4 linked regions of the Drosophila melanogaster genome follow. The protein of the gene in region 2 interacts with the protein of the main gene of each other region in a pairwise test. Each region holds a gene or a part of one and is shown on either strand. Other genes may lie near its edges. The genes, in order: PolZ1, fkh, Pex2 and CG4849.

The links.
Region 1: the proteins of fkh (region 2) and PolZ1 interact in a two-hybrid assay, tested with the Drosophila melanogaster proteins (one large-scale study listed by BioGRID).
Region 3: the proteins of fkh (region 2) and Pex2 interact in a two-hybrid assay, tested with the Drosophila melanogaster proteins (one large-scale study listed by BioGRID).
Region 4: the proteins of fkh (region 2) and CG4849 interact in a two-hybrid assay, tested with the Drosophila melanogaster proteins (one large-scale study listed by BioGRID).

What each region holds. Positions count from the first base shown.
Region 1 is NT_033778.4:7,791,735-7,801,464, reverse strand, and holds PolZ1 (DNA polymerase zeta subunit 1), read right to left. Parts: upstream 7,841-9,730; 5' UTR 7,770-7,840; coding exon 7,638-7,769; intron 7,580-7,637; coding exon 7,350-7,579; intron 7,293-7,349; coding exon 7,048-7,292; intron 6,991-7,047; coding exon 6,743-6,990; intron 6,685-6,742; coding exon 6,240-6,684; intron 6,171-6,239; coding exon 6,054-6,170; intron 5,992-6,053; coding exon 5,587-5,991; intron 5,530-5,586; coding exon 5,445-5,529; intron 5,380-5,444; coding exon 5,293-5,379; intron 5,235-5,292; coding exon 2,547-5,234; intron 2,482-2,546; coding exon 1,387-2,481; intron 1,323-1,386; coding exon 707-1,322; 3' UTR 421-706; downstream 1-420. Other genes in the region: Nop17l (Nop17 like), read left to right, coding at 1-22; Gapdh1 (glyceraldehyde 3 phosphate dehydrogenase 1), read left to right, coding at 8,345-9,343. UniProt on the Drosophila melanogaster protein: As the catalytic subunit of the DNA polymerase zeta complex, plays a crucial role in translesion DNA synthesis (TLS) and various DNA repair mechanisms. Lacks an intrinsic 3'-5' exonuclease activity and thus has no proofreading function.
Region 2 is NT_033777.3:28,579,576-28,587,840, forward strand, and holds fkh (fork head), read right to left. Parts: upstream 5,690-8,265; 5' UTR 4,979-5,689; coding exon 3,446-4,978; coding exon of another isoform or gene 2,900-3,445; 3' UTR 1,401-2,899; downstream 1-1,400. UniProt on the Drosophila melanogaster protein: Fkh promotes terminal as opposed to segmental development. In the absence of fkh, this developmental switch does not occur. The nuclear localization of the fkh protein suggest that fkh regulates the transcription of other, subordinate, genes.
Region 3 is NT_037436.4:8,336,267-8,341,636, reverse strand, and holds Pex2 (peroxin 2), read right to left. Parts: upstream 2,587-5,370; 5' UTR 2,483-2,586; coding exon 2,447-2,482; intron 2,381-2,446; coding exon 2,303-2,380; intron 2,248-2,302; coding exon 1,816-2,247; intron 1,762-1,815; coding exon 1,462-1,761; 3' UTR 1,361-1,461; downstream 1-1,360. Other genes in the region: CG7083 (uncharacterized protein), read right to left, coding at 1-484; Cpr66Cb (cuticular protein 66Cb), read right to left, coding at 3,489-3,725, 3,809-4,048, 4,889-4,900.
Region 4 is NT_033777.3:27,960,589-27,968,154, reverse strand, and holds CG4849 (uncharacterized protein), read right to left. Parts: upstream 4,741-7,566; 5' UTR 4,602-4,740; intron 4,476-4,601; 5' UTR 4,468-4,475; coding exon 4,354-4,467; intron 4,294-4,353; coding exon 3,625-4,293; intron 3,567-3,624; coding exon 3,475-3,566; intron 3,416-3,474; coding exon 3,224-3,415; intron 3,171-3,223; coding exon 1,668-3,170; intron 1,603-1,667; coding exon 1,245-1,602; 3' UTR 1,197-1,244; downstream 1-1,196. Other genes in the region: betaTub97EF (beta-Tubulin at 97EF), read left to right, coding at 564-886, 954-1,049; CG31131 (uncharacterized protein), read left to right, coding at 4,975-6,114.

The sequences.
Region 1 (9,730 bases), on a different chromosome or scaffold from region 2:
GATGTTTGAAATGGATGATTAGGATGTTATTTAAACCATAAATATATTCATATTTTTTGAGTGATTTAGTGGCATGTTTTCAAGGTTTTTAAATGCTACTACATAAATGTTAACTAACGCAACGTTTTTTTTTTTTTAATATTTATACTGTAATTCCTTTTATATCGAGGCGAATTGCTCAATTGGAAATACACAAAATTGTATTTAGGCAACACGAATCAGGGCTAAATCAGAAATCAAAATGTTCATTACATCAAATACTAAGTGTTATGTAATTCGGTTAAACATTGAAATTGTTAAAACGCAAGATGAAATCCTACGCTGAACTGAAAAAGAAACCTATTATTATAGATCGATAATTTCATATTCATTCTCATTGAAGAACACACAACAATGATGTCTTACAAGTTAGCAAACTACAAGTTTTAAGTAAACATTAAAACGCTTGTTTATTGGCTCCATGCTCAGCTCATATAACAATCATAACACGATAAACCTAAACAATATCAATAGTTAACAATTCCTCTAGTATTACACACAACAAAATCACCCAATGCATAAGTAGAGTATAAGCTACGTACATGTTTAGAAGCACTGGCTGAATCAATGCATGTAATTTTAACTTTTATAAGCGAGCTGCAAGTTAAAATACATATACATCTCTTATGAATGAGAAATCCAACCTGCATACGAGTATTGATTGGCATTAGAAGTGGTGTTCAAGGAGTTTGTTCCAGTGCTCGATTTGCTGGAGTTCCCTTCGCTTTCCCTCCAAGACATACAGCACTGGGCAGTCGAGGGAATCACACTGTAGGCTACCCAGGCGTCCGCAACAAGCCTGGCATATCTGCCGAGTTAGTTGGTAGCCCCTCTCCAGACGCGCTGTCTTATCTGAGAGCACAACTACGCACGTGGTGGCGTTTTTCAGGCAGTCTGGGCAAATGCCCGCCTTGGTTTGGCGGCCACAGTCGATCACGCAGCTGGTGGTAGAGAAATACTGGGAGATGGTGGACTTGGCACCGCGTGCACCCGCCAATTCGTTGGCGGTTCCAACGGCCGGCGTCATGAGCAACTTCCTCGGCAGACTGGCAAACCAGTCGTGCACATTGGCGCCTATGAGCAGCAGGCAGCGATTCAGCGGCGGAATAATCGCCTTGGTAATGTAGTAGATGGCGTTTATCTTGTGACCCTCGTTGGCCAGGATGTCGTGCGGGCTGCGCACCAGGCGGATTAGCTGCATGCCCGGCGGGCCGTTGACTATTATGAAGGGGACGCGTTCGCCACGACGCGGCACATGTCGTGGGTCTTTTTGCATCCATTTACTGAAAACGAAAATGGTCATAATACAATTCAGGAATGGCAAAGAAGGAATGTCTCGTAGCTTACCGCGTGAGCTCCAGTGCTGGCACACAAGCCGTGGGCTTGTAGCCATTGAGACCCCTGAACTCCTTGGCGAAAATCAGGTCCTGCAGATTGGCCCTGCCCGACAGCAGCTTGGTGAACTGCCGGCACACGTACGCCTTGATCTTGCTGACGTCTTGCGTCTCGAACAATATGCGCAGCACCTTTTCCAGCATCTTGGCCACCGCCGGACAACCATCTCGCCGCACAGTTTCTATTCCCTTCGCCTCGTAAACGGGCTGCTCCTGATCGGCTGTCTCATACATGTAACCCACGTAGCGCTTCTTGGTCTGCAGCATGCAAGGTTGGTAGACCTTCTCCAGTTTTAGCTTCACTGGCTGTGGATTCATTTCGGTGACCGCCTTGGCGATCTCCTCGCCGATTCGAAAAGCTTCAGCTCGATTTCGACCCGGCACAAGAACGAACATGGAGTCCGTGTCGCCATAGACGACACGCACCTTCCACTCCTCGTTGTTCTCCACTAGTTTGATAGCACGCTCCAGGGTCTCCCGTCCTTTGGAAACTACAGAATCGCCCACTTCCACTGAAGGCATTCGGCCACTGAAGTTAGCGGCGGTGTAGCCATAGGTAACATTGGCCATCAGCTTAAGGCCCAGCTGCCGTGAGTGAAGGATCCGCTGAAGTGCAGAGCTGTCCTTATGGAGCTTCATCGACTGTTTGACCATTTGGCGCGTGTCCAAGATCTCGGTGAGCATGCGCGGCAGGATGCCCTCGCGCACTTCACGCTTCACGAACACAACGCCGCATGGCGAAACAGTAACCAGATCGTGCTCCAGCAACTTCTGCAGCATCTGCCGCGAAACTCGGAGCTGCGACGCGCCAAATTCAAAGGGCGAACTTCCACCCAGGTGCTCTACTCTACCCAAGCACGTGGAGAAGCAGTAGTTGTAGGCGATGATCATGCTGGGGTACAAGCTCTGAAAATCAAGCACGATTAGGGGATCGGCATAGAATCGTGACTGCGGTTCCATTATTAGCGCCAAGTACTCGGGAGCTCTCATATGAGCGCGAGCCTGGACGCTGGGTGAAAGTGGCACCAGGTTCTTTGGCTTGGCGATTCTATGAAGACAGAGAGTTCAGGGAGGATGCAACATATTTTGCCTGCGCTCAAGGGTTACACTCACCTCAGCATCATGCTTTCCACGCGAAACTGTGAGCCGCGCGACAGCACCTCGTAGAACTGAATGCCAATGAGCTTGGCCATTTCGCTAGTCCGTCCCAGTAAGTCCAGCTGATCCAGGAGAGTTAAGGTGCCACGCACACGCTCCAAGTAATATTCCATTACTATCCAGCGGGTGCAGGGTGAGCCGAACCATTCGGTGAGGGATTTGGCAGTGTGCCAGGGACATCTCTTATGCAAAATGTGGTACATTACGTTTTCGAAGGTGTACGACGTCAGTGCAATCTCGGAGCGCATCAGGCGCCATACGTCCAGCAGAATGCGGCCGCAGAGCTTCATTTCCACATCCAAATCGGTGAACTGCTCCCGATCCTCGTCCACAAAGTCCCGGACCTTCTGTGTGGGCACTCGGGACAGCAGAGGAGCGATGTTGAAGCACAGATGCTTGGCCCGATCAATCACATAGCCCCAAGAGGACATCTCGATTTCGTACCCTGCGTATATGTCCGCATCCCACCGTTCACACAAAGCCAGCAACGCCTCAAATGCCTCCGCTTCACTGGTCACTACTTGCACCTCAATATCGCGATCTATACCATGAAAAGGTCCTTCACTTAGCAAATCCTGGACAGTGTTCACCATTATATAGCCGCAGGCTTTGCTAGGCAGCTTTTCATCCGGCAAACTGTGTTCGATAGCATAAAACAAACACCGAATCTCGTCGTGCATCGGATCTGGTTGGAGATCACCTCGCGTGGACACAAACACCTCTAACGTTATGATTGTCAGGTGGTTGCAATCAATGTCGGCTTTGGCCTGCTGCAGATTCTCCAAATTAACCTTGAACCCGAACGTGTTGTCCAAGGTAGCGTGGCTAAGTCCAAAGCTGAGGTCGTGCTGCCTATCCTGGCTACTGCCCTCTAACTGGCGCAGAAAGGAACTACGATCTAGCTCCGCCTGGGCCGCACTACTGGAGACGCTCTGTTCGCTGGACTGCGAGCTTGGTGGTTCCTCGTCCTGGCTTCCTATGAAGCTGAGCCTAGTTCCGCGCTTAAGGCGACTCTTTCCTGTTTCTCTGGCTTTGCTACTGGTAGGGGTTGCCTTGCATTTATCCTTAGCTTGGGACAAGGGCGTTAGACTTAGACTGCAATCGAGTTCCTCACCAGCATCTTCATCGCCACTTCCGCCATCGCCTTCCTCAGCCTGCAGCATCATAGTGATCTTCTGCCGCTTGATCTTGATGGGGCTGTCTATGTCATCAGAGGACTTTTTTGGTTCCTCTCGTTGACGAAGGAGTTCCTTGGCTTTCAACCAGATCTTGGCTTCCTGCCAGGTGGGTGCTAGTTGTGCTGGCTCGATTGCTATTCTTTGTTGCGTGCTGAAATACTCCCGTACTTTTTGTTCTCCCCGATGTCGCTGCAACATTGCCAGGCCACCAATGGCTATCAGTTGCCGACGACGCCAGGAGGCCAGGCCACGATCATTGCCCAGTATGCTCTGGAAGGGATCACAGTCATTTAGCTTGTTCCCCGGAATGTGGAGCACCAGGAAGCCCACCTCCGTCACCTTGCTCACATCGGAGGGATTGCTGTAGTATGGCTTTTGGAACTCGTACTCGGGTATGTCCATTTTACGGCTACCGCTAACCACTTCATCGTAGGATGGAGGCAGCTCCAAGGGGGCAATCACGAACGAGTTGCTATCGGGAGATGGAGGAGCAGACCTAGGAGAATCCATATGTATCTCGGGGCTATCCAAGAAGTCACTGAAGACCGACGGACTGTTCACAATCAGCGAATGCTCATAGAAACTTCGCATCAGCTCCGGTGTGTTGCTCTCATTGCTTTTGGGACTTAGCTGAGGAGTGGTCTCAGTCTCAGGGGGTCTTATGCCTGAACTGGGAGTAAATTGTTTGTTCAGCAACTCCGACCGAATGCTCCATCGAAGGCGTTTCAAGTTGGGTGTTTTACGAAGTTTGGTGACTATATAATCGCTTTCCGTGTCGGATTCGATAGCCTCATCATGGCATGGACTAAATGTGATCTCCTCCGTGGAGTTTGCTGAATCTCCAGGCGAAATACCAGCTGGTTCCTGTGGAATTAGCTCACGTTGTAACTTTTCGTCACAGCTTCGTGCAGTTTCATCAGACTTTTTTGGTTTACTTTCGAGATATTCGATTTGTTCAGAAACAGAGTTTTCCTGCTGATGCGGACTCTCTGAGTTAGATGAACTATCTTTTGTTGCTTTTTCCAATGCAACAGTTCCATTCATGCTTGTTTTAGTATTTTCTTTGGGACTTTGGGATAGTCTGGCTTTCTTTTGAGGTCTATCCAAACTTGTAGTCGTCACTCGTGGCCCAGTTGTTTGTATTTCGCTGGAACACTCATCTGGATTTGCCGAATTAACCTTATGGCGAGCACTGCGACGCGGCTTCAGCTCATCCAAGGCACTTCCTTCTGACCTGTGGGGTCTCTCTATCTCACAACCGGCCTTGGGTAGACTTTCTATATCTTGATTCCGAGTGCTCCATCGCGTCTTTCTTACTACTTTCTTTGGTGGTAATTGCTTGCCGTCCTCTGTTTCGAACATGTCGCTCAAGCCAGGATTTCTGTCCCTCGGCGTAAGGGAACAAATAATGTGTGTTTTGTCCAGATTGCTAGTTGATCGTCTGGTACTCCTAACTGGAGTACAACTATCGGGAAAACAATAATATAAATCGCCTTGCCATAAAGGATATCAGTTAACCATACTCGTTCTTTAAGAGCACAAAACTGTCCTCGAAACTTTTCCGTCGCATCTCCGACATGGCTAGTTTTTTGCGCAATGAGATTTCTGGCCTACGAACAAAAATGTTGGTCATAGAAATGTTGGTACATATGATGAAAACAAAGAATTTGATTACCGAAGTGTTCCCGTTCCGGTTCCTTGGTCTAGCTGCAAACTGAGGCGTGGATTAGATGGTCTCCCTGCGAATTCATCGTTGCTTTCTGCAATTGGTTATGATTGCAAAAAAAATTCGTGTGATCGTTATCAATTCTACCCACTCTTTGATGAACTGCTTCCAATTGTCAAAGCCAGCGGCGCATATTTCTTGGCTGCACTGGTTTTCGGAGTACGTGGCGATTTGGGAAGACTTTTCTGACCTATTGGCGTTGTTGGAGTCTTTGAAGGACTTGACTTTGACTTAGAGCTGATCGATTTAATGGGGGTCCTTTGTAGGCGATCATCAGCACCATCAATTTGGGGCAGTTTACTAGATGCTTTCAGTTCCTTCGATTCCGCAGGCTGACTTTGTGTTAACTTAAGCAACAACTCATCGACATCGTCTAGGACGGTAGAGAAGTCATGTCGGGTTTCTTGGTCGGCATCCTCGTCGGAGTCAACATCTTCGTCGAAAAGAGCAGCAGTAGCTGCGGTCTCCTTGTCCAACAATTCGGGTGTAAGTTCGACTACAAAAAGAGATCAGTGTAAAACATTTATTAAAAAACAACTCCATTTCACAACAACTCACACTTTTTATGTTGCGACAATGGAGCCAACGAACTGTCTAAGTCCACATGCGATTCACTTTCATTCTGCTCCTCCAACAGCTGCAACGCGTCCAAAAGTTCCAAATCCTCCTCCCTCACTGAAGCAAGGAGAAAACAACTGGTTTATACCAAAGTGCGAGTTGTAATTTTGGCAACCGTGTACTCACAGGTGGCATCATGGGGTATCGCTCCATGAGGCTGTGTGAGGCTCAGTATTAGTTCCTCATCCACTACAGTTTCGTCCAAGTCATCGGACTCATCCTTGGAGGTTGACAAACTGACACTGCTGCTGTAGCCGCAGGTAACATGGTTTTGTATGAAGGAAGCATTAACCAGCAGTTGCTGCTGATCCTGTGAGCATTCCTCCGGATAAACGGCGTTGGCTAGAAGTTTTTGCAAGTTAAACCTGCGTTTCTGTGCCTTTGTGCCGGGCATGGTGGTCTGCATGGTTGCTTGGGGAAGGATTGTCTGATCCGACAACGTTTGCTCGGACAGTGTGGACTGCTCCAGTGTCATCAGCTTGCTCTCCAGAGCGGTGCGGTAGAAGATATCGCTTTCGGCGATTTCAATTTGATGCCGCTCCTGTGTTGGCGGTAACTCCAATACTGGCACCTACGATGGATGGACAAGGCTGTAGGATTTATCAATACAAGATGTATTCCCGGATTACCGCTTCAGCCTTCTCCTCATCGCCAGCATCGGTGTGCTTCTCGACAAGTTTCTGTCGGCGCAATTTCTCATCATTCCAGATGGCCTCGATGCCGGGGTTAGTGTGGTTGCTCTTACTCTTCGCCACCAGCTGGAACCGATTCAGTATGAAGTTCGAGCTGACATCCACCTCTAAAGCACTGCAGGCCACTTTCTTAGCGGTTGTGATGTCCAGAAGCTGCGCTTGCTTGACATTTGCATAGGGGATTACTAAAGGGTTAGTTACGGGTTAGTTAGGAACTTAAATAGATGATGTATCCAGCTTGCCGTCATCGTCATGGTTGCGCCGGAACTTGAGAACCTCCAGCGGGACATGCACATAGCTCATACCGTACAGATTGTAGTCGATCATAAACTGCAGAATGTAGGGCACATGCGACTCGTGCGGACTGAAGTTCTTGCTCAGAATGGCGCCGCTTTGGAGAAGGTTGGCGGCGCGGCGTACGAACCGGGGATTGAACATGTAGATCTTGAGGAACTGGTGTTCCACTCGATGGTAGCCATAGAAGGGTCTGTAAAGAGAGGTCGGTTAGAGATTTACGCCAAGAAGTCGTCCAGAAAGAACTCACATGCCCTTGACCAGCTGAATTTTGAACACATGCTGGGCGTTGGAGCTGCCTTGACCCAAGGATATGTTGATGGCCTTGTCCAGGTGCATGGCCATCTGCAGGATGCCCCGCTCCAGGGACTCAAAATCCTTCTTGTCATACGGAATGTATAGATAGGGGAAAACTCCGTGTACATGCATGCAGGTCTTCTGGCCTCTGGAGTTGCCGCCAAACACTCGAATCACTGGCACCTGGAAGTGGAATGGATCGTTATACCAGTTTTTACTGTGGTGAAATAGACCGGCTCACCCGCTTGATTTCTTTGCCGCGCAGCTCCGAATAGCACGGATCCATTCCGAACTGCGGCTTCTCCATATAGAAATCCGCGATGACCAGCCGGACGGAGTAGACTCCATCGATTGCCTCTCCTGCGGCTGCCATTTTCGCCAAAACTCAGATTCGTTTTCGCAGAGCTATTTGTTGTCAATTCAATTCAAACTAGAGTGACCATGTATCGAAAAGTATCGATCTATCGATTGTTGCTTTTTGAATTCAAACTAAGGGCAAAAACGTAAAATAAATATTTTTAAATTGAAAGAAGAGCTCTAGAACTTAAAGAACTAACTTGGCAACAATGTTAAGAAAAACTTTAGTGCAAGATGAAGGAATTTTATACTTGACAATGCTAATTTTTGTATAAACTTAATTACGTAAAGGGTCCTACAACCCATATATATCATTAGTTGTTAGAGGCTCTTTTTAAGGCGCTTATATAATCAAACCCTTTGTAAAAATTAAAGTTTTAAATGGAATTCTAATCGATTTATTTCACATTAGCTTTATTTAAGTGTGACCTACGCAGAAAGCTAGCGAAATACTCATCAACCCTCCCCCGCCATCGCAGCGCCATTCTCCTAATTTGCGAAAAAAGCTCCGGGAAAAGGAAAAAGCGGCAGTCGTAATAGCGAACTGAAACTGAACGAGAGTAAAAGTGAAAAGACAGCAGGAACTCAGCCATGTCGAAGATCGGAATTAACGGATTTGGCCGCATCGGCCGCTTGGTGCTCCGCGCCGCCATCGATAAGGGCGCCTCCGTGGTGGCCGTCAACGATCCCTTCATCGATGTCAACTACATGGTTTACCTGTTTAAATTCGACTCGACTCACGGTCGTTTCAAGGGCACCGTTGCGGCTGAGGGCGGATTCCTGGTGGTGAACGGCCAGAAGATCACCGTGTTCAGCGAGCGCGACCCGGCCAACATCAACTGGGCCAGTGCTGGAGCCGAGTATGTGGTGGAGTCCACCGGAGTGTTCACCACCATTGACAAGGCGTCCACCCACTTGAAGGGCGGCGCCAAGAAGGTCATCATCTCGGCCCCATCCGCCGATGCGCCCATGTTCGTGTGCGGCGTTAACCTGGACGCCTACAGCCCCGACATGAAGGTGGTCTCCAACGCCTCGTGCACCACCAACTGCCTGGCTCCCCTGGCCAAGGTCATCAATGACAACTTCGAGATCGTCGAGGGTCTGATGACCACCGTGCACGCCACCACTGCCACCCAGAAGACCGTCGACGGTCCCTCTGGCAAACTGTGGCGCGATGGACGTGGCGCCGCCCAGAACATCATCCCGGCCGCCACCGGAGCCGCCAAGGCTGTGGGCAAGGTCATCCCCGCCCTGAACGGCAAGCTGACCGGCATGGCTTTCCGCGTGCCCACGCCCAATGTCTCCGTTGTGGATCTTACCGTCCGCTTGGGCAAGGGAGCCACCTATGACGAAATCAAGGCTAAGGTCGAGGAGGCCTCCAAGGGACCCCTGAAGGGAATCCTGGGCTACACCGATGAGGAGGTGGTCTCCACCGACTTCTTCAGCGACACCCATTCGTCTGTGTTCGACGCCAAGGCTGGCATTTCGCTGAACGATAAGTTCGTCAAGCTAATCTCGTGGTACGACAACGAGTTCGGTTACTCCAACCGCGTCATCGACCTGATCAAGTATATGCAGAGCAAGGACTAAACTAGCCAAAACTATCGTACAAACCCGGCGCCCAGCAGCTGGTCGGGAATCACTGTTGCATAATCCGCAAGGGGCGCAATTGAGGATGCTTTTTTTTCAAATGCACAAAATAGCCATAATTACGCAAAGCTACATATTTATTGTTGTTGAATAAAGTATCGCCCTGTTACTGTATTTAAATGCCAGCTATTTGAAAAATAAAACTTGTGCATCGAATGAAGAACGTTGCTTGTGTAAGCCCAAGGGCGTGTGAAGGTTATATCGGGCGGACTTGCTGAGATATGCAGTGAATACACAAATAAGTATCTGTGCTTCGCCTGGGAGAGTCATCCCAATCCCAAAGGAACGATGTTTCTATTTATGTACATACCATATGTATGTATGTAC
Region 2 (8,265 bases):
GGCCGCCTTGTCTAGAGAGCTCAACAAACTCTGGAGCGTCTTTAGCGCGCATGTCTGGCATTAAGGCATCGATATATAAATTGTGGACGGGCTCGGTGGGGGTCCGAGTGGGTGGTTGGGTGGTGGGACCATTGGGTGGTTGTCAGTTTAGCCAAACCAACCCCAAAACACAGATTTCCTAAGCCAGCCCAGATGGGGTTGTTTGCCAGCCGGGGTAAAATGAAGAAACTCCGCCAGAACGCTGACAGTCACAATGTCAAGGAAAAATCGAAATTGAAGCGACAACAAACGAAGCGCCATTTTGTTGTCGCTTTTGCTGGAGACCGAGACCCAGACCAAGTCGCCCATACGCCAGGTCCCCCAATCCCACAGTCCCCAATCCCACAGTCCCCAATCCCCTATCCCCTATCCGCCGTACCCATTTTCAGTCCAATACAATCCAATACCGTCGACGGCACGACCCTAGCTAAACAACAAAGCGAACTCTTTATGGAACATCTCCAGTCGGCTTGGAGGCTATAAAAAATGTATTAAAGCCAGTCCAGTCGCCCCCACAGGCACACATGTACATACATATAAATAAAATGTGTCGTATGGACATATAGAAAATGGTGACCTTCTCGCTTAATTAAAAGCGACAACTGCTCGTCAAACACGCTCATGCCCGAGCTCTAGATAAGCAATAATTTTAATGTCTTCGGAATGTCCGAGAATCGTAGGACCTGGATCGTAGATTCTTCCAAATGAATCACACCGATTTTAATCAAAAGGTGGTAGTAGTTCGCCAGGGGGAACTGCGTCGGATCAGGCTCTGTTGGGTTATATTGCAGCGATAAGGTCCATTGCAGCGATAGGGAAGGTGCTCGAACTCGGCTCGTAGTGCTCCATGAATATTACTAGAAAGCAAACAGAGGGGAGTCGAGTCAAGTCGGGCAGAAGATATCCACTACCCTTCCCGCTCTTTTTGGCCAGAGGGATCGGGCTGGGTTGTGCTGGACTGAGATGGGTTAGTCAGTGTGTCAAGTCCGGGCGGGAATGGGTCGGTATAGGACGGTATGGGATGGGCTGGGATGGGTCCCATGTCCCATCCTGGTTGTTTGTTTACCTTCTTGTTCCGTTGCAATTTATGAGTGCACGGCGATAAGGGTTTATCGTGGCATGGTAGTGGTGGAAAACTGCACTCTGCATCTGAGTGACGGCGATAAGATAGCGACTCCTGGAACTACTCAGCTCAGCTATCGGTCGTTCAATTCGAATTCGCTGCATTGATAGCGTCGATAGCGTCGATGGAGATAGTCAGCCATCCGGGCGGCCCAATCAATATATAAATGATTGTTGGAGGTCAGTTGCTTGAGTCAACAAAGGTTGGGAAATGAAAACTAATTTATGGTACTTTTTTTCCTTTTTCTTGTATTTCAAACATTAAAATAGTCGATTTTGGTTGTCGTTGACGTTGTGTTTGTTTTGCATGATTTATAATAATATTAATTTTACTAGCTTTAGAGTTGGATTTTAATTCTTGCGTTGACATTTATTGAATTTTATATTGTGTATTTTACAATAATTTTCATTTGTTTCTGTGTCTGTCAGTGTCAGTATGTGTGTGTGTGTGTGGGTGTTTATATTTAGACTATTTTTTATCAAGTTTAATTAATTAGCTTAGCTCAATGTAAAAATGGGTCTTTGTTTTGTGTTTGCAATTGGTTTTTTATTTTTCATTACGCACAATATAACTAATATTAAAAATTATTGAATAATAATTGCAGTTTCGCTTTTTATGTGATTTTTTTTCATTTTTGTTTTTTGCTTTCATTATTTATGCTAATTAAACGTTAAATGCTATACAGTATTTATATTTATACTATGTTTACTTTCAAGTGGTGTGGCATAATTTCATACAATTTGATTAATTCTCGAGTTAGTTAAAAATTGGTTGCTTGCAATGGGTCCTTAGTTAAATTGGGTTTCTTGGGGAGGGGGTTGCTTAAATGTATCTATTTATAGATTATTTACAAAATGCCTTAATCTAACGAATTCGTACAACAACAGAAGACACATAATGTAAATGAAATGCGGGATTTTGCGATACATGGGCGTATATCGATGCGCGTATATATAAATGGAAATTTGTTAAATTATTCAGTTAAAACGTGTCGTTTTCTTATGCATGGCCAGATTTTGTTGCTTAGATAGTTGAAGATTCTTAGGGTTTTGCTGGACTGCTCAATATGATGATTTCGGTTTTAGATTTCTTTTTGGTTTTGATCTTTTGCGATTCGAATTCGATTGCGATTGCCTTTGGATAAAGGGTTTAGTATTTGTATCTCTCTTTTTGGGACTGTTTCATTTGGGGCTTTGTTTTATGAAAGAACATTACACACGATCCCTTCTTTACATCTCCTCTCCTCAATCTTCTCCTTAATCGGATACATTTAAAATGTGATTTCAAATTTTCAGTTATAACCGCTTTGATTGTTATTGCTTGTTTCGAAACAACGAAAACAAATGGCACGGAATTATTATTTTGTATTTGTATTAGCAAAACGTAAAATTGTTAACAAAAGTTCTGCTGCACTTACAACTACATCACGGTTTCTTTCGCTCCTCCTCCTCCTGCTCTATGTCGATTTAATAACCCCCCGGAACAGAATCTATATAATCTACAATATATAGTACTGGAACTGAACAACACAAAAGGCAGCGCTCTCGATCGGCTCTTCATAGGTATCTCTATATGTACAAGTGCGAGTTGCGGCCCAAGACTCACGTGCTCAAAGGATGAGGATGCGAGTGCGGATGCGGATGCGGCCAGGTGCTAAAAGCCACCGCCACTGCACTCGCTAATTGGCAGGCCCGCTACAAAGCCGCTGCCTGTGGAGATCGGGATCTATAGCTATAGCTACAGAAGATTCTGCAGAGCGGCGGCTCCATTGAAAGCCAGGCCGTGATTCCAATTTCTGTAGCCTGCCGCCGCGGCATACTGCTGATAGTTGTTGTACAACTGCTGCTGGGCGGCCTGATGCTGCTGCAGTTGCTCCTCGCTCAGATCGCTGGTGATGTTCGATGAGTCCTCCTGCAGTTCCTGCAGCAGTTGTTGCTGCTGCTGGTGGTGTTGCTGCTGCGCCGCCGCCTGCTGTTGTTGCTGCTGCTGGTGCTGCTGTTGCAGCTTCTGTGAGTAGTTAGAGCCCGATCCTGAACCCGATCCTGACCCAGATCCCGAGGCCGAAGCCGATCCCGCCTTGCCGCTGGCCTTTGCTGATGTTGCTGGTGTATTGGAAGCGGATGTCAGTTGCTGCGCCGACTGCTGCATCTGCTGCTGCTGCTGATGCAGCTGGTGCTGCTGCTGTTGCTGCTGGTGTTGCTGGTGCTGCTGCTGCAAGTGCTGTTGCTGCTGCGAGCGCAGCATCTGCTCCGCGCGTCCTTAAGCCAGCGGGTATTGGTGATGTCACAAGCTCGTGGTTCCGGCGGGCGCATGGTAGCCAAGACTCTGGTAGTAGGAGTCCTGGCCTAAGGCAGCGTGTGAGTTGGTCAGCGGACTGAGGGCGTTGTAGCCGGCGTACTGGCTCATGTCGTACATCTTGATGTCCGCCTTGGACTCCGTGGGCAGCAGGCGGTTGATGGAGAACGGATGGCTGGAGGGCGTGTAGCCAGAGGGCTCCTGCTTCAGCGGATGCATCGACGAGTGGTAGTCGGTGATCAGCGACGGATGGCACCGATTGGCCATCATCGCCGACAGCTCCTCCTGCTGCAACTGGTGGTGCTGATGGTGGTGATGTGTGGGCACATGCTGCGGCTGCTGGCTGAGGCACAGTTCGGCATTGGCATGCAACATGGCCAGGGCCTCCGCGTCCTTGCTGTGCGCTGCACTCAGGACATTTACGCCGGCGATCGATGCTCCGCCCGCCTCCTTGTGGTGCTGATGATGGTCCAGCCGGCTGTGGTGGTGGTGGTGCATGTGGTGCGAGTCCTCGTGATCCTTCTTGCCCGGACTGGTGGCCTCCAGGCTGCTGTGCGACGGACTCTTGTGCAGCTGCCTAATGGCCTCCTTCTTCTCGTCCTTGAAACGCTTCTGTCGCCGCAAATAGCACCCGTTCTCGAACATATTCCCCGAATCCGGATGCAGAGTCCAAAACGATCCCTTTCCTGGCTTGTCCGGCGTCCTGGGAATCTTTACGAAGCAATCGTTGAAGCTCAGCGAATGTCGAATGGAGTTCTGCCAGCGCTGCTGATTCTGCCTGTAGAACGGAAACAGATCCATGATGAACTGATAGATCTCCGAGAGCGTCAACATTCTGGTGGGGTTATTCTGAATGGCCATGGTGATCAGTGAGATGTAGCTGTATGGCGGCTTGGCATGCGTGTAGCTCCTTCTGTACGTAGTTGGTTTGTCCACCCGCGATCTGCCTAGGGAATTCGGCGATCCCGTCTCCATTTCCCGGGATCCCGGCGGCATGGCGCCATAGGTGCCGCTCAATCCCGCCGCCGACATACTCGCTGCCGACATGGCCATGCAGCCACCCATGTTCCCGAGCGGTGATCCCATGCTGGCGTAGCTCATCGAGCTGGGGGTCATGCAGTTGCCGCCCATTGAGTTCATGGCCGCCGCACCCATGCTGCCGTTCATGCTGGCATTCATGCTGGCGCTCATACTGGCACTCATGCTGGCGCTCATGCTGGCGACCGCCGCCGCCGAGTCCAGGACGCTGGAGCTGAATGTGGCCGCCGCCTGAGGGGAAACCGATGACATGCCACCCACCGGCAGGCCCATGCTGTTCATTGTGTAGGCGGATCGAGCCAGGGGACTCATGCTGCCGCCGTTGCTCGTCGGATTCGGGTTGTTATTGCTGGGCGGTGGGGGCCCACCGCCTCCTCCTCCGCCGCCGCCTCCACCGCCGCCCGACGGAGGACCACCGCCACCCGAGCTGGCCATGCTCACCGGAGCACTGCTCGGAGGCGGCTCCGCGTAGAGCTTCTGCATGATGTCAATGGTGGTCTGGTGGGGGCTACCCTTCAGAAAGCTGTTCAATAGTTGCGCCGTTATGTTGCCGGCTTTCGGAGGCGCTGCCCTCTGGTGGATCGATGGAAAAGGCAACGCGTTCTGCAACGCGTTAGTTAAAACGAAAATCAAAAAGGAGGTCTTTAAAACGTGGCTTTACTCTGATATATTGTATATCAACTGTGATTTCAGTGCACTATCACTGCTTCAATCGGTTTGCATATATCTGGCATTTTATCGAGAGCACTTCGGCACTTGTCACTTGTTGGCTGGAAGGTTCTGATTCCGTTTGCGATTCTGATTCTGATTCTAAGCTTTGTTTGTAAACACACACCGTGGTTTAATTATTTGTGCGGGATAATCATATAAAATATATATTTATTTTCTGTTATGATTCGATTCTTTTTGTATTTTCTTTGTATTTTTGTATGGGGATTTTTGTTGTCTGCCGCACCGAGCGGCCACAAAACACCGACGCACGAACGTGAATATCTAGCTGGCTGTTGGCCACTGAAGTCTGAAGCTGGGAGTTGTGCTGTGCTGTGCTGCTGCTTTTGCTGCTGCTGCTTTTGCTTTTGCTGCTTTGGCTGATGCTGCTGTTGCCGTTGCCGCTTTAGCTGCTGGTCCGCTCGAGTGTCTCTTTGGCTTGAGCTCTTGAATGTGACTGTTTGCAGAGGGGAACGCTTGTCTACTATTTGGCTTGCGCTTGCTGCCAACAAATATTGTTCGAGCCGCGCTCAAGTGCCTCGGCCGACGTCGGCGTCGACAGCGGCGGCAGCGGCAGCAGCGACGCGCCCGGGCAGCACCAGCTCCGACTCGTTCTCGCCAATGGCCCGGCGGTATAGTGCGTCTCACCACCACCCTGGCGGAGTTACCAATGACAGGCGGCGGTTCTCTTACGTACACAGTGGTGCTGCGGCGCAAGCGCATTGGTCGGTTGGCCTCTTGTATCAACAGAGCAGGGCCGGTTGCCAGGCAACTGGCCATTGGGGGGGCGTGGCCAGGCCGCAGTCAGCAACGCCCTCCACTCACACACCCTCAGCGGTGCGGACAGAGATACACGGGCAGAGATACCGGATACGCATACAGCTGCAGATACATTCGCAGTGGCCTAGCCTAATGCTGAGCGACGCCATGTTACAGTTAACGATTTTCCCTAATGCGATCAATAATCGCTCGCTCTCCTTCTCGCCGTAGCGTGCTATCAGAAAATAAAAAGAAAAAATGTGGAAAAAAAACCATTAAGACGGGTTCTGGAGACCGAATCTCTGGGGAGACTGAGAATGCGACGACGCTCTGTTTTTCGAGAGAAACAAAAAGACCGAGTGTTTTGGCCTGGCCTGGCCTGGCTTGGCTTGGCTGGGTTTGGCTCCCAAACAAGACATTTAATAATATCTGTGTGTGTTTTTTCAGCCAGTTTTTTTTCGTATCCGTACCGCTTTTTCCCTTTTGAGGTTAAGGTATGCCAATGTCACTCTCATTCATTCCCATTCGCATTCGTGGCGAGGCATCGCGAGCGGCAGCAGCAAATCATCAGAACAGCGGCGCAGTTCACCTTTTTGGCAAGTCATTGCGAAAGTGACCCAGTTCTGCATCTGGCCAGCATCAGCCGCATCTCATCCGAGCATCCCACTGCATCCTACCTAAGATACCCGAAACATAAGCATCCACAGTTCATTGATAGCGCGTGCTGGCAGCTACTTCCTGGTATCCTGGCAATTTATCCACGTTTATGGTCCCGGATAAAACGCATTCTAATTTCGGGCCATAAACCATAGACGCCTTTCCTATTCCGCTTAACCCTTTCGCTTGGCCAAGTGTATCTGCGAGTGCCTGTGTGTGTGTGTCCGTGTGCGAGTGTGTGCCAATCCGTGAGAGTGTATGTGTGTGAGCCAGGCTCATTATTGCGTGTCATAAAAGGACGATTGTCTCGTTTCTCAATGAATGTTTTGCTCAATTAAGATCTACCTGAGCGGGAGGAAAAGCGGGGAATTTCCGCATTACTTTTCCATTTGTCAATGCAGCAGTTCTTTCTCCTCTCACTTTTTTGTAGCCTTCATCTAGGCGCTGAGACATTGAATTTTTGAAATTATCAATGAAATGTAATGAAACATTTCGCTTGTGGGAGAAATCACATTTTTATGATCGCCCCATTTCCGAGTAATTATAATGACTAATGACTTATGTCATATAGAGCCGTTTCCCCTTCACAAAAGCACTACTGAGTAATATTTTTATCATATTCAAGATTATCTTCAAATTGTTTGAATAATTGTTTACAATAACCATGGGTTAGATAAGATTGAGAGATAAGCGAAACTGAATCAGGAAAAAATCTTTCGCTCAACAATGGTATTCATAATATTTAACCTGTTTAACATTGTTTGGCTTGCCACTCGGATATCTATATCCCATCGTGATGATCATTAAACATCAAACACTTTCGGTGACTGAGCACATATGTACTCAAATCCTTATGTGCACTTCTAATAACCGTAATGTGCTTAAATATTTAATATTTTTATTGTATTTCACAGGCAATTCAAGTGGCTTTGGCTCATTAATGTTTGCCGTGTGGGCGTTGGGTTGGTAGGTATTTTTGTTGTTCAGAGCGCATCAAATGTGTGCTTTTTTGGCGTAGACTCTCTGCAAATAGTAATGCCAGGCAGTCCAAAAATGTGTACTTATTTACCTTTAGTCATTTATCTATTTATTTATTTGCTTTAAAAGCGCGCCACTGTAGGTCGGATTCACATGGCGATTTACATTGCGATTCGGATTCAGATTGGCTGCCTTTTTGATACAGTCGGATGTATTCGGCTCTAAGCCATGGTCAAACTTTTTAATTAGTTTCAATTGTTGGCGCCCAACGCATCCCCAAATGGTTATTTATGGAAAATATTTGCTTTACTACTTTTTTGCCGCTTTGTTTTGATTTTCGTTGATATGGCTTTAAAATGCTGCGCTTTCTGTTTGTTTTAAGCATTTATGTGACGCATGCGCCGTGTGGCAATGACTTTACAAAATCATATACATATATATCAACCGGAGAATTTGACCAACATTTCTCAGATAGATGACGTCCGCAGCTGTATCTGTTTCTATATCTATATCGGCGTGGTGGCATAATACGAATAATATTTATTTTTATTGTTATTATTGGTTATTGTTGATTTATTTGTTTGAACAATATTTTCGCACAAATTAAAATGCCCGGCCACCATGGGACATCGGACGATGGACATCCATATCAATGTCGTTTAAACGGT
Region 3 (5,370 bases), on a different chromosome or scaffold from region 2:
AGGCGCCATTCAGGAAAACCAGAGAACTCAGTCCATGGGCGTAGCCCGAGTGCAGCTTGCTGTCCACCGGAAAGTAGAAACTCAGCCCGCGAAAGTGTAGAGCAAACAATTGTTTGGCTGCATCGTAAACCCCAGGATGTGTGGCTCCAAAGGAGTGCTCGATTTGCTCGATACTCGGCAGCACCTCCGGGGAATTGAAGTATACGCCGAAATACCGCAGCTTCACCAGTTTCATGTTGAAAACCTCGATGGTCTTCAAACGCTGACTGACGGGATCAAAGATCAAGCGAACGCCATCCTGTGGCAGGTTGATAATGATGTCCACGCCCAGGGGAGTGGTATCCGAGTACAGCACCTGGACTCCCTTGATGATGCCCACCTGCGACTGGATGATGGCGATAGCCTGCGAGAAGTGCATGCCCAGCACAAATTCCCAGGCATCGCAGCCCAGGGAAATCTCCGGCACGATCTCCAGATCTAGCATTTTCACCTGGGGGTTTTTAAGGGATCTTGGTTTGTTATTGTTGTTGCTGCGAGTCGTCAACTTACTGACCTTGATATGTGAAATCAGTTCGCGTTGCGAATATATTTAAACAATTATATATATACGCAATTGATGGCCAAGTGTATTTGTTATTATTTCAGCACTTTCTGTTTTCAATTGTTTGCTCTCGTTTTCTTATTTTCGCTGGTTATGCCTTTATTTATTTTTATGCAATTACGCAACTCCAAAAAAATTGTTTAATTCGTGGGTTTCCAACTACTTGTCGTGTTCTTGGTGAAGCGATTAATTGTATTGTTTTCTTCAAAAAAATTCGGACAAAGACGAAATGCGCAGCAGAAAAATGAGATAATAACAAAGTAATGGCGTTGCCACATCGCCGCAGGCAGCTGATTCGCGAAATTGCAAAACAAATTGGGTGTGGCTTTGCCACCCAAAAAATATGAATATTAATCATGTTCTTAGTCTATCTATCTAATCTAGTGGCTTAAATACGGTTAGAGCTACTTAACAGTTGAGTTCATATAATTGCTTAATTTATTTGCCACATTTGGCAACGCTGGTTGAGAATGCAACAGCTGTTCCCATATTTTCGCGCGCTTTTTATTTACCAAAGATAGGGATTTAGAACTTACTTTTTGATCTTAACTGTTGTTCTTGGAAAATCAGCAGTTAACTTTGGATCCGCAAGGCTTTATACTTCGCCCTAAACAGTTTTTGCTTTTTATTTTCGTTTAATTATACACTTTTTATGTAGTTTATATCGCACGACTCCTGGCACTGGGCAAGTAAATAATAGCTGTTTTTGTACGACTACCAACACTACTCTGCTTGCTAACACTAAAAGTACACACATTTGGCGGAATATGAAAATGATTTGTTTATTACTTACAGCCCACTTTTCGCTTAAAACTAATAAAAGACATATAAAACCATCACATGCACTATATTCCTATTTATCAGACACTTTGGATTCCCGACTCAGGACACGCAGAACCGCAGTTGGGGCAGCAGAAACTGGCATCCGTTAAAACATTTGCATTAAGGCAGTAATAGCAATAAATATGACCACAGCCCATGTGGTGGGGCAATGTGGGTCGCTCTCCACAGAATGTGCAGGTGGTGCTTAGTGTCATCTGCGGCGCCAGGAAAGCCGGACCATCTCTATCCTCTAACCGTCGTCCGGAAAATGTCCATGATTTTAGCACTCTTTGTAGCTTACGGAAATTGATGATGGGCAACACCAGTCCGAGGATTTCCTATAATATACACTGTAATATATATGTATAATAAGCAAACTAACTAACACGCACCATAAATCCTCCCCACAGCAGCTCCCTCGTTAGGTACTTGTAGCCAATGTCTCTCCTTTGATTGTTCCGCAGACTAATGTAGTCCAATCCCAATAAGTAGTCCACCAAAGTGGGTTTTCGTCCTGTCTTCAGGAACCGAAAGTAATTGAGGATGTTCAGTATCAGGGCACTGTTCTCCACCCACATAATCGCCTCGCTAAACCATTCTACGCGCCTTGTTAAGCGTCGCTCCTCCCAGCTCTTCACGTAGCCCGGCAAGACGGTCAGGATGAAATGGAGCACCAGCCTGGAAACGGTCAGCTTTTCGGCATCGTAAGCCAGAACCAGTAGCTGTTGGCCAAAAGTGGAGCACCGCTTGCCGACGGAACCAAACCAAATTGCGGATTGAATGATCAAGTCGAGCTCCGGTTGGATTTTGATGAACAAAACGGGCTGTGAGAGATATACAGTATATATTGGCCAATTATGGTAGTGTTCATATACTCACTGAGATGGCTTGCAAGTTCTCCAGCAGATTATCGCGTATCAGGCGGGCAATGTCCTTGTTCAAATAGATGGCATCTATCTAAAAGGTAAACATGTATAATTTTAGTGGTTTTAATTCATGAATAGCTCACCATAATTAGCTCACCTGATTTACACGTGGTACATATTTGTTTTTCTCCATTATTTTGTTTATATTCTTGCCTTTGGTTAGCTGACCATTGATATATTTCTTATTTATATGTACTCTGCCCTTTCTTATCAATTAGAGATGGCAATTGTAAAGAAAGTTTACTAGTCATTATCGACATTTTTAAACAGTGCTGGTAAACTATATCGACAAACCCCGCCAAATTTAAACTAGCCATACTAGCAATGCGGTTTGATTTTTTATTTATTGCTAATTGAAATCAGCTTATATATCAATTACATCGACATTTCGAAGAAACTCCAAGTCTTTTAACCATTTAGGAAGCATTTTCCGTCAACATTTCAATTAAGGCTTATGCAATTTCAATGAAAACAAATACAAGAAACCACAATGAACTGAAGAACTCGTTTGGGATCCGGAAAATGTGTCTAACGATGTCTGGTAATTTGTGGAAATCTTGCCCATTGCCGTTTACGTCTGGAAACGCATAAACCAGTTGGTCAGCTGAGACATTTGGTCATTTGTTTGAGGAGTGCAAGTTCAATGATTGGCCCCGGCTGAAAAAATTATGGCCAGTGGTCGGGTGAGTTTTGATTTTATAAAAAGTACATAATTCACACTTTATTACACAATTTACAATTTCTTCGTTCGATCTCTGTTTTACGAGAAGACATAAGTATACATTACAGTTTACAGATTATAGATTATAGATTAAAGATTAAGGCAAACAGTCGAGTAGTGATCGGTAAATTCGTCTGAGCAGGTAGTGACTAAGGATCAGTTGAAAGCGGAAGATACACATAGAAGTTATTCGCTATCACAGAATAAAATACAATATACAAAATGTTAATGAAATGGCCATGGACAGGATGTGATCCTTGGCCTGGGTGTGTGCTGATGTCCTAATTACGAGATATGAAGCTGATTCCATGGTCGACCGATGTGGATATGCTTGTCCCTCCTCCTAGTCCTCATAATCCTCCTCCCACTTCCGGCTGATGAGCAATTTGGCTAACTCTAGTGCGCAGTGTGTACTAGCTTAGTAGTGGTGTTCGTGCAGCTCCTCATGATGATGCACTGGAGCGGTCTTGTGGACCACGGCGTTGAATCCATTGTGCTTGTCGGCGGTGTAGTCCACGGTGCGGATGGAACCATCGGGCTCCACCAGGGAGTACTGTCCCTTGACGGTGTCACCATCGCGGGTCTCGTGCTGCGACTTCACATCTCCGGTGTGGAAGTCATTCACGCCGTACTTGAAAGCATATTTGGGAGGAGCCTGTTAAGAAACAACATTTCATCATCATCATCTCTTTGATTATAGTTTATAGTGTAATTTTGAATTTCAGAAACAATACTCACATAGTAATCCACATGTTCATCATGTCCGTGAGACTCGTGGGTCTCGTAGTGGGGCTCAGCGTGTTCGAGGTGACCGTGCTCCTCGCCCAGTGAGATGCGTTCGATTTGATGGTGGCCATACTCATGGATGGGCTCCGGTTCGTGATGGGCCAGGTGCTCATATCCATGGCTCTCCTCGTAGTACTGGTGCTCCAACGGATAGGCGAGGCTCAGGCACAGAGCCGAGGCGAAGATCAGATACTGCAAGATCAGATAGGTGGGTGCATAATTAGCAACTAATTGTTTCCGTTGACGGAGTGTGTGTAGTTGCAAGTGCTGCAATTAGCGTTGGAGGACTTGCTGGCCACAGACAGTAGCTATCCATGTTATGGCTGCTTTGCAATTTCGGACTTTTTCCTCTTGCTGGTCTTAATGAATTCATAATCAAGTGTTTGCTGTGGTCGACTGACGCTTTTGTTTGGATATACTTTTAGTGGTTACTTTGTGGTTTACTGGCTGACTGCAAATTTGTTGGTTAACTAAGCGGGAGGTTTATTTAACTAAAGCAAAAGTGTGAGTTTTTTCCTAAATCCTAAAACGATTTACTTTAATAGGTGCTTTTGTTTGAACTGTGGTTTTTGAGGTTGTCTTTAAATTGGTTTTTTAATTAGCACAAAATAGCTAAATTGATTTAGTGAAATTTTGTCAGGATGATTTTTAAACTGAAATTTAGTGGTCCTGACGAATATTTTACTAAAAGCGCCTTTCTTTGAGCTCCTAGTCTGTCATTCTCTACATTTATAATTTTTCTTTAGTATAGTAAATAGTACAGTATCCTATTGTTCCGATGTTTAATAAAATTTGTTTCCATTAAAAATCATTGCATATTGAAATTAAAAATCACATTTTTAATATGAATATCCTTTTAATGATTGCTGGAGATTTGGAACACCTTTTCCACTTCGTTCACCACCAAATCACTTGGTTTCTTAAATATCACTCGATCCTCAGATCGTTTTGCTGTATCCTTTAGGATATTTTTTTGCTGTATAGTTTGTTGTTCACAATCGTTATCCTTTATCCTTGGCTGCTGCTGCTCACCTTGAATGCCATTTTAGTTTGAGTTTTAGCTCGCGATTTATTTGGAGATCACTGGTTGACTGCACGCAACGACTTTTCACCACTGAATAATGTGGTTGCAACCAAAATGCGCCGCTTTTATATGGTTAGGAAGAAAGTGAATCGGCTGGCAGCGGTGGTTCGGTGGCTCGGTGGATTCAAGCAGCGGTGGTTTGCAGCAGCGACTTTGCTGTCTTCGGTGAGCGGAGCGTCTCTTGAACCGAATGTAAAACAGTTCACTTGTGGTTGTTGTTTGCCATTGTTTGGGGTTTGATGTTTGCAGCCCCAATGCACTTAGAATAAAAAGTCGGCACAACTCAGGAAAAATATCGAAAATCAACAATGATTACATGAGAATAGAAACAAGAAAATGTGGTTCTAAAATTTTATAATTGCCCACAATGGAAGACAATATGCCATACAAAGGTAATAAAGTTCTCTACATTTATGACAAATATTACATT
Region 4 (7,566 bases), 620 kb from region 2:
CGCGCCGCTTTGGCCCCTTTGCTTTTGACTGATGACTCGCAAAACGCGCGTAATTAGAAATTTACTTTCAAGATCCATTGGGGAATTGCGACCGCCGCCTGACACGGCCCCCAGGCCCAACTAATCATGCCGAACGTGACTTGGCCTGCACTGCGTTCCAGCGCACCCGCACTCAAGCTTAGCCCAGGTTCAGCCCAGATCCGGCGTCACCATCTCAGGATTCGTTATCGTCTCCGACCGACTGCCAGAAATACTTGCAAAATAATTAATCACAAAAATGTGCGGAAAAAATGCCAGCGAGCAGGAATTTAAACAACTTTTTTAGTTACCTCCTGGGACTTTTTCACTGTTTCCATTCCCAAGCTCCGAGCTGAGATCCCAGTGCAGGTGCCCGGCCAGGTGCGCAGGCAGAACTTGGAAGCCATTTAGTATTTCATATTCAGGGATTTGGGGATTCCGCCGGCGCATCAAAGCGAACTTGTCTTTTGATGTAAATGTTTAAATGCGCACAGGAAGATTGTACGAAGGCAATTTTGTTTCAACGCTCTCTCAATAATTAACAGGACCCATGTCCATGAAGGAGGTGGACACGCAGATGTACAACGTGCAGAGCAAGAACAGCAGCTACTTTGTCGAATGGATTCCCAACAACGTCAAGGTGGCCGTCTGCGACATCCCGCCCCGTGGGCTCAAGATGTCCGCCACCTTCATTGGCAACTCGACCGCCATCCAGGAGATCTTTAAGCGCATCTCCGAGCAGTTCACTGCCATGTTCCGGCGCAAGGCCTTCTTGCACTGGTACACCGGCGAGGGCATGGACGAGATGGAGTTCACCGAGGCCGAGAGCAACATGAACGATCTGATATCCGAGTACCAACAGTACCAGGTTAGCGATCCCTCCATATCCTTGCAAAGTATCTCTAAAAACGATTTCCATTGGTTTCCTCCTTTAGGAGGCTACCGCCGACGACGAAGTGGAGTTCGATGACGAGCAGGCCGAGCAGGAAGGCTACGAGTCGGAGGTCCTGCAGAACGGCAATGGCGAGTAAAGTCCTAGAAACTATCACAACTGTAGCTGTTTTCTGTATACTATTTTGTAAATTATTTGTCCCGAAAAGGCTTCAAATAAATATTTAGTAAATATAGTAAAAAAAAACACTACTCCCTTTAAAGTTCGCAATTGAAATTCGGAAAGTATGTCTAAATGTTTTATTTGTTTTCCCGATTCCTGATTTGTGGGAAGTCTAAAGCGGGTAGTTGATCAGCACATCCTGGCGTGCCAACTCCAGCAACATAGGATCGTCGAAGAATTTGTTGATGGACACGTCCTCGGACAGACCCTTCCTGCGACGCGTCTTGATCATAAACTCTCTGGCCAAATGGGATGCTTGCTGCGGCTCCAGTGGCCGGATTATGATGCTCTTGTCCAGGGGATCGCCAGGCACTATCTGCCAGTGATGGAACACCGAAAGGCAGAAGGCCTGGCCCTGGGTGTGCGTGCGGAGATCCGTCTCAAATCCAAATGAATCAATGGCGGGTATGAAGGCTTTGATCGTATATATGGGAGAACCCGATACGGGAGCATCCTGCGTTACGTGGCCTCTGCAAAATAGATTATATAAAATTTAGAGGCATTCTCTTACGGAAACATGAGCAGCAAAACTTACCTGCGCCTGGCCAGCACAGTATAGACAGCGGATACACAATCTGCCGGCGCCTGAACCTCCACAAATAGATATGGTTCCATTAAACGTGGGGTGGCCATCAAAAACGCCGAGTATGCCACACGACGGGCTGTTGGAATGATCTGTCCACCGCCTCGATGCAACGCCTCGTTGGCGATGACGCCATCGAGAATCTTAAACTTGACATTACGGATTGGCTCCTCGCACAGCGGCCCTTCTCGCGTTCCCCATTGGAAGCCCTGCACAATCGAATCCTTAACCGCGGTCAGCAGGTTCTTGTCCACTTCCGAGGGCAGGGTGTCGTCGACCAGGATATTTGGACCCGTGGAGTCGGGACCGAAGGCCCAAATGGAACGCGCCGCAAGCAGATCCCAATCGTAGTTGACTTGGAAGAACTCGCCGATGCGCTTTTTGTTCCAGTTTATGCAGACGGTTCCGTTCTCAATGTCCTCGGCCAGTCCCTTCTCCAGTGGCTCCGAGATCATGGTTATTTTGTTTTTCTTATTCGGCGTTTCGGCGAAACATTTCAGGGAACTCGTTTCCACAACTGTTTCGCAAAAAGCCACGACGGGATCCGCCACTTTGATGTCGATCTCGGAGTACATCTTCCGCAGATCGTGCATGACACAATCCAAGTACAGCTCGCCAGTGCCCAGAATAACATGCTCGCCGGATTCTTCAACTCGAGTGGAGAGAAGTGGATAGGATTTATTCACCTTGCGGAGGCCATCCAACATCTTGGGAAGCTCGGATGGATTCACTGGCTCCACAGCAATCTTGATAATGCTCTGGGTGTTGAACTTCAGTGGTCGGAATATGTAGAGGTCTTCTGGAACATTAATATCCACAATTGTGGAGGTCTTAACGATACACTGATCGATGCCTTCGATGAGCACCCAATTTCCGGCGGGTACACGATTTAACTCCACCTTGTAACGAGACTCAAATACCCACAGACGACCGACTTGCAGAATGCGAGAGTCCTCCTCATCCTGCAAGGTGTAGTTCTCTCCCAGGACACGCACCTCCTGGCCAGCGTGTAGAGTACCAGAGACAATCCTCGCCAGCACTTGGAAGAAGGTACAGTCGTCGTTGGGATACATCTTGGAACTGTGCACCATCAGAGTGCCGTATTGGTTGCATGATATCATATCCCGGTAAATGTCACCCTCTTTGGGTCCAGTGTATATATGGTCCACCTTTCGCTTGGCATTTTCCAAAGGGGATTTAATGTGCTCCACGCACATATCCACAAAACCGCTGCAGTCGCCCATGAAGCGGTTACAGACGAGACGCAGCAGTGGTCTTATATTGGACTTCATCTCCTCCTTGGAGACGCGCACATTCAGCTCGGCCAGAGTGTCCGACAAAGTGGTGTCCACATCGCCAACCACCTGGGCTATCAGCTTGTACATGGGCTCCAAAATGAACTCCACAAAGCTGCGCTGTGCCGAATTGTGCGGCTGCTTCTTCGAGAACTTGCGCCTATTAAAATAGTTGGTATTAGCAAATGATTTGGATATTTAGGCAGCACTTACGTTTTACTGTTGAAGTACATGTCACCCCAGAGCCGCTTGGCAAAGTCCAGGTAAGCCACTCCCTCATAGGTGTCTGCATACAGCTTGGCAAAGGATTTCAGAGTGAAACAAAATCCGTACAACGAGCTGGCGAAGCACACGTTGCCCAAAATAGGCGAAACTAAGAGATTGTCATCTGGAGCGCCATAGGTGCTGTAAGAAAATTACACATTAGTAAAATCATTAGTGTTGAGTATGAATCACGTAATCACCTCAGCAGCCCATTGACTTCCTCCACAATGTGTTTCAACTTAAAGTAGGCGTCCTGGGGCGGCAATTTCAGCTCCAGGATGAGGCGATCAATCTGCACGTCAGAGGAAACCATTAGAAAGTTTAGTGTCACCTTAAGGCCAAACCCTCACCTTGTTTATGCAAACGGTGATAGCCTGGCGCTCTTGCACCGCGTGCTTGAGCAGTCGCTCCGTGTTGAGCATGACGCCCTCGGCGGCATCGATGAACAGCACGACACCATCGCTCATTCGCATGGCGGCGGTGGCCTCGTCCGAGAAGTTGACATGCCCCGGGGTGTCGAAGATGTTCAGCAAGTAGCTCTTCTGTTTGACATCCTGCAGGACAAGTGTGACCGGCGTGGCCTTGATGCTGCAGCCGCGTTCCTGTTCCGTGAACAGGGTGTCCGTGTAGCGCAACTGGCGCTCCTCCATGGTCTCAAATTGCGGATGCGTCTGCCGGATGAGGCAGTCGACAAAGGTGGTCTTGCCGTGGTGCAGGTGGCCAACCAAAGCCACGTTGCGAATAAGCGGCGGAGTGTCCATGAGATCGGCCATGAACTCCATGTCGTAGGTGGTCTCCTGCATGTCTTGCTCCTTGATCTGGAACTTGAGCTTCTTCACTGGCTCTATAAGCGGCTTGTCCAGCGGCTGGGCGTCCTCCTCCTGGACAATGGTCTCCACATCCGGGCCGTAGACCTCAACTGCTGACGGATAGTAGCGTTTGTCCTCGTGCAAAACCACGGCGGTCACCTCCTTGTCCTCGTCCTCCTGTGGCTCCACCTCGTCCTCGTCCATGGCGTCCTTTAAATGAAACACCATAAATTAATTATAAGTTTTATTTTATTTTTTGCACGTTTATACCTCTGGGTCATCCTGCACATCGGGTTGCCCATAAATACTTTGCTCATCTTCCTCGTCGCTGTCTAAATCGGGGCCAATATAGTTGCCAAACTCATCGTACAAATCGGAATCCATGGTTTTTCCTAAAATAAATATATATATCAATACTTTCATTCAAAATTTGCCGGTGGCGTCTTAGAAAATTTAAAACTTTCACGGTGACTCGAAACTTATGCTACTCTTGTTTTTTGTTGTTTTTACCGACTTACCAATTGTTACAGGACCTTCTGATTGCTAAATTCTTCTTTAAAACGTAAGAAAACTGCAAATAATATAATTATTCACAATTTTTACACAAAAACGCGGACTGCAAACACGCTGTTCTTCTTCTTCCCCGAAAAACACTCAGCTGTTAAGCGGCCGGCATTACCTACGGCATTGCCAGCACAAATAAAGTAAGCGCTTGCAGCCCTGGCGGCAACATTTGAATTTTCCAGTTCATTAGGGCTAATTAACGTTTTTGCCAAGAAAGCAGGTAGCTAAAATACGCGTTGAAACGTAGGTAGACCCTTGCGTTTATATTGCACTGCAGTCGCCAAAGGTAATTAGTCGAAAGTGTCAACCGAAGGTATCAGCATCATAATGAGAAAATTCTGTTTGCTTCTTTTAATGGCGCATTTTGTGGCCTCAAGCCGAAATTTAAACGATATTCTCGGTCGCGAGGAGTGGATTAGCATAGCCAAGGAATACATCAAGAACCACAAGCCTTACAAAGCCAAAATCTACACACCCTACAAGCCGCGCATCGTAAATTTTACCAATCCGTTCGATGGAGATTTTTGGGACACAACTACGGTGGCCACCAATCCGCAGGAGACTACTGGCTACTTCACTGGGGAAGTATCTACTACAACGGAGAAAAGTGCCACTGAGGAATCTACAACTACGGCGGTGGATTATTCAACCACCGAATCTAGTTATGTAACTTCAACCACGGATACTTTATATTCCACGACAACAGCTTGGCCGGAAGTCACCAGCACAGATGCTATAGATGCCACTGAATCAGTAGCCCTATATTCCACAACAACTTCGAGTCCAGAAGCTGCAGATTCAACGACAGAAAGCAATTCAGACAGTACTGAATATGCTGAATCAACGTTAATTTATCCAGATTTATCTACAGGATGGCAAGAAACTACTACAGAAACCATTCAGAGCTCTACAGGATTGCAGGAATCAACAACAACAGAGTTTATGCCAAGTACTACGGAATTTCCGGAATCAACGACTACTTTAAGTTCTGAATTTTCAGAGAAAGAACTAATAAAAACTACCACAGAAATAGAAATCAATCCAAGCACTACAGAATTGCCGGAATCAACGACTGAATCTGCTGATTCTACCACAGAACCGAACGAATCCACGTTTGCATTATCCACAGATCAAACTACAACTGAAACAGCAGAAACTTCAACAGAAGAATTGTTTTCAACCACAGAAACCCAGGAATCTACTACATCCTTGCTGGAAATCATTGCCACGACTCCGGGCGTGGAAACTACCACGTCGTATCTGGATGCAGTGATTGACAGCACCGAAGAGGAAAGTTCTACATTATCAACACCATTTGGATTTAATTTAACAACAACGGAAATAGTAGAAACTCAAGTAGAAACCACAACACCAAGGCAATTGAATTTCGTCGAAGATTACGTTCGCCAGAGACCGAGAAAATTGAAGTACTCTTCGGACACGGAGCCGGAACTTTACTGGTACTGAAAATGATTGCAAATAAAAATTAAGAGTTTGATTAAAAATTTTTAGAAGCAAAAATTAAGAGTTTTAATTTAAATAAAAACGTAAAGCAATTGGCAACGCGATTTAAGCTATGGCTTATTTTAAACTAAGAAACGCGGTCACACTGGCCAAAAGCCAAACACATTGTTGTTTGATTTTTCAGCAGAAATTTTTTATTTTTTATTAGTTTATATCGTAAACATGAGTTTGTCCAGCATAAAACAGAAAGAAGCTAAGGGCAAAAAGAAATTGCTGCCCAAACTGCGCAATATTCTAGCCAATCCTTACAAACAGCACAGGTGAGGCGGGCAGAAACCAATAAAAACCCAATCAACAGGTTGTTTCTTTTGACTTTAGCCCTCTTTTATCGGAGGAGGAAGTGCAGCAGTTCCGTCAGATCCTTCAGAATGCAATTAAAAGCAGCGACGGGCAGACCAAATCGTTTGCCACTCGATACGGAATACATCTCGGCCTGGAGAGCTCCCTACGCGCCATAAACTCGCGGCGTTTCTCCTGCCTATTGGTTTCCTTGAGCCTGCGACCAACTCACCTCGTCCGTCTAATGGCCACCAGTGCATCTGTCAAGATGCCCACGTGCTCCTTGATCTGGAACTTGAGCTTCTTCACTGGCTCTATAAGCGGCTTGTCCAGCGGCTGGGCGTCCTCCTCCTGGACAATGGTCTCCACATCCGGGCCGTAGACCTCAACTGCTGACGGATAGTAGCGTTTGTCCTCGTGCAAAACCACGGCGGTCACCTCCTTGTCCTCGTCCTCCTGTGGCTCCACCTCGTCCTCGTCCATGGCGTCCTTTAAATGAAACACCATAAATTAATTATAAGTTTTATTTTATTTTTTGCACGTTTATACCTCTGGGTCATCCTGCACATCGGGTTGCCCATAAATACTTTGCTCATCTTCCTCGTCGCTGTCTAAATCGGGGCCAATATAGTTGCCAAACTCATCGTACAAATCGGAATCCATGGTTTTTCCTAAAATAAATATATATATCAATACTTTCATTCAAAATTTGCCGGTGGCGTCTTAGAAAATTTAAAACTTTCACGGTGACTCGAAACTTATGCTACTCTTGTTTTTTGTTGTTTTTACCGACTTACCAATTGTTACAGGACCTTCTGATTGCTAAATTCTTCTTTAAAACGTAAGAAAACTGCAAATAATATAATTATTCACAATTTTTACACAAAAACGCGGACTGCAAACACGCTGTTCTTCTTCTTCCCCGAAAAACACTCAGCTGTTAAGCGGCCGGCATTACCTACGGCATTGCCAGCACAAATAAAGTAAGCGCTTGCAGCCCTGGCGGCAACATTTGAATTTTCCAGTTCATTAGGGCTAATTAACGTTTTTGCCAAGAAAGCAGGTAGCTAAAATACGCGTTGAAACGTAGGTAGACCCTTGCGTTTATATTGCACT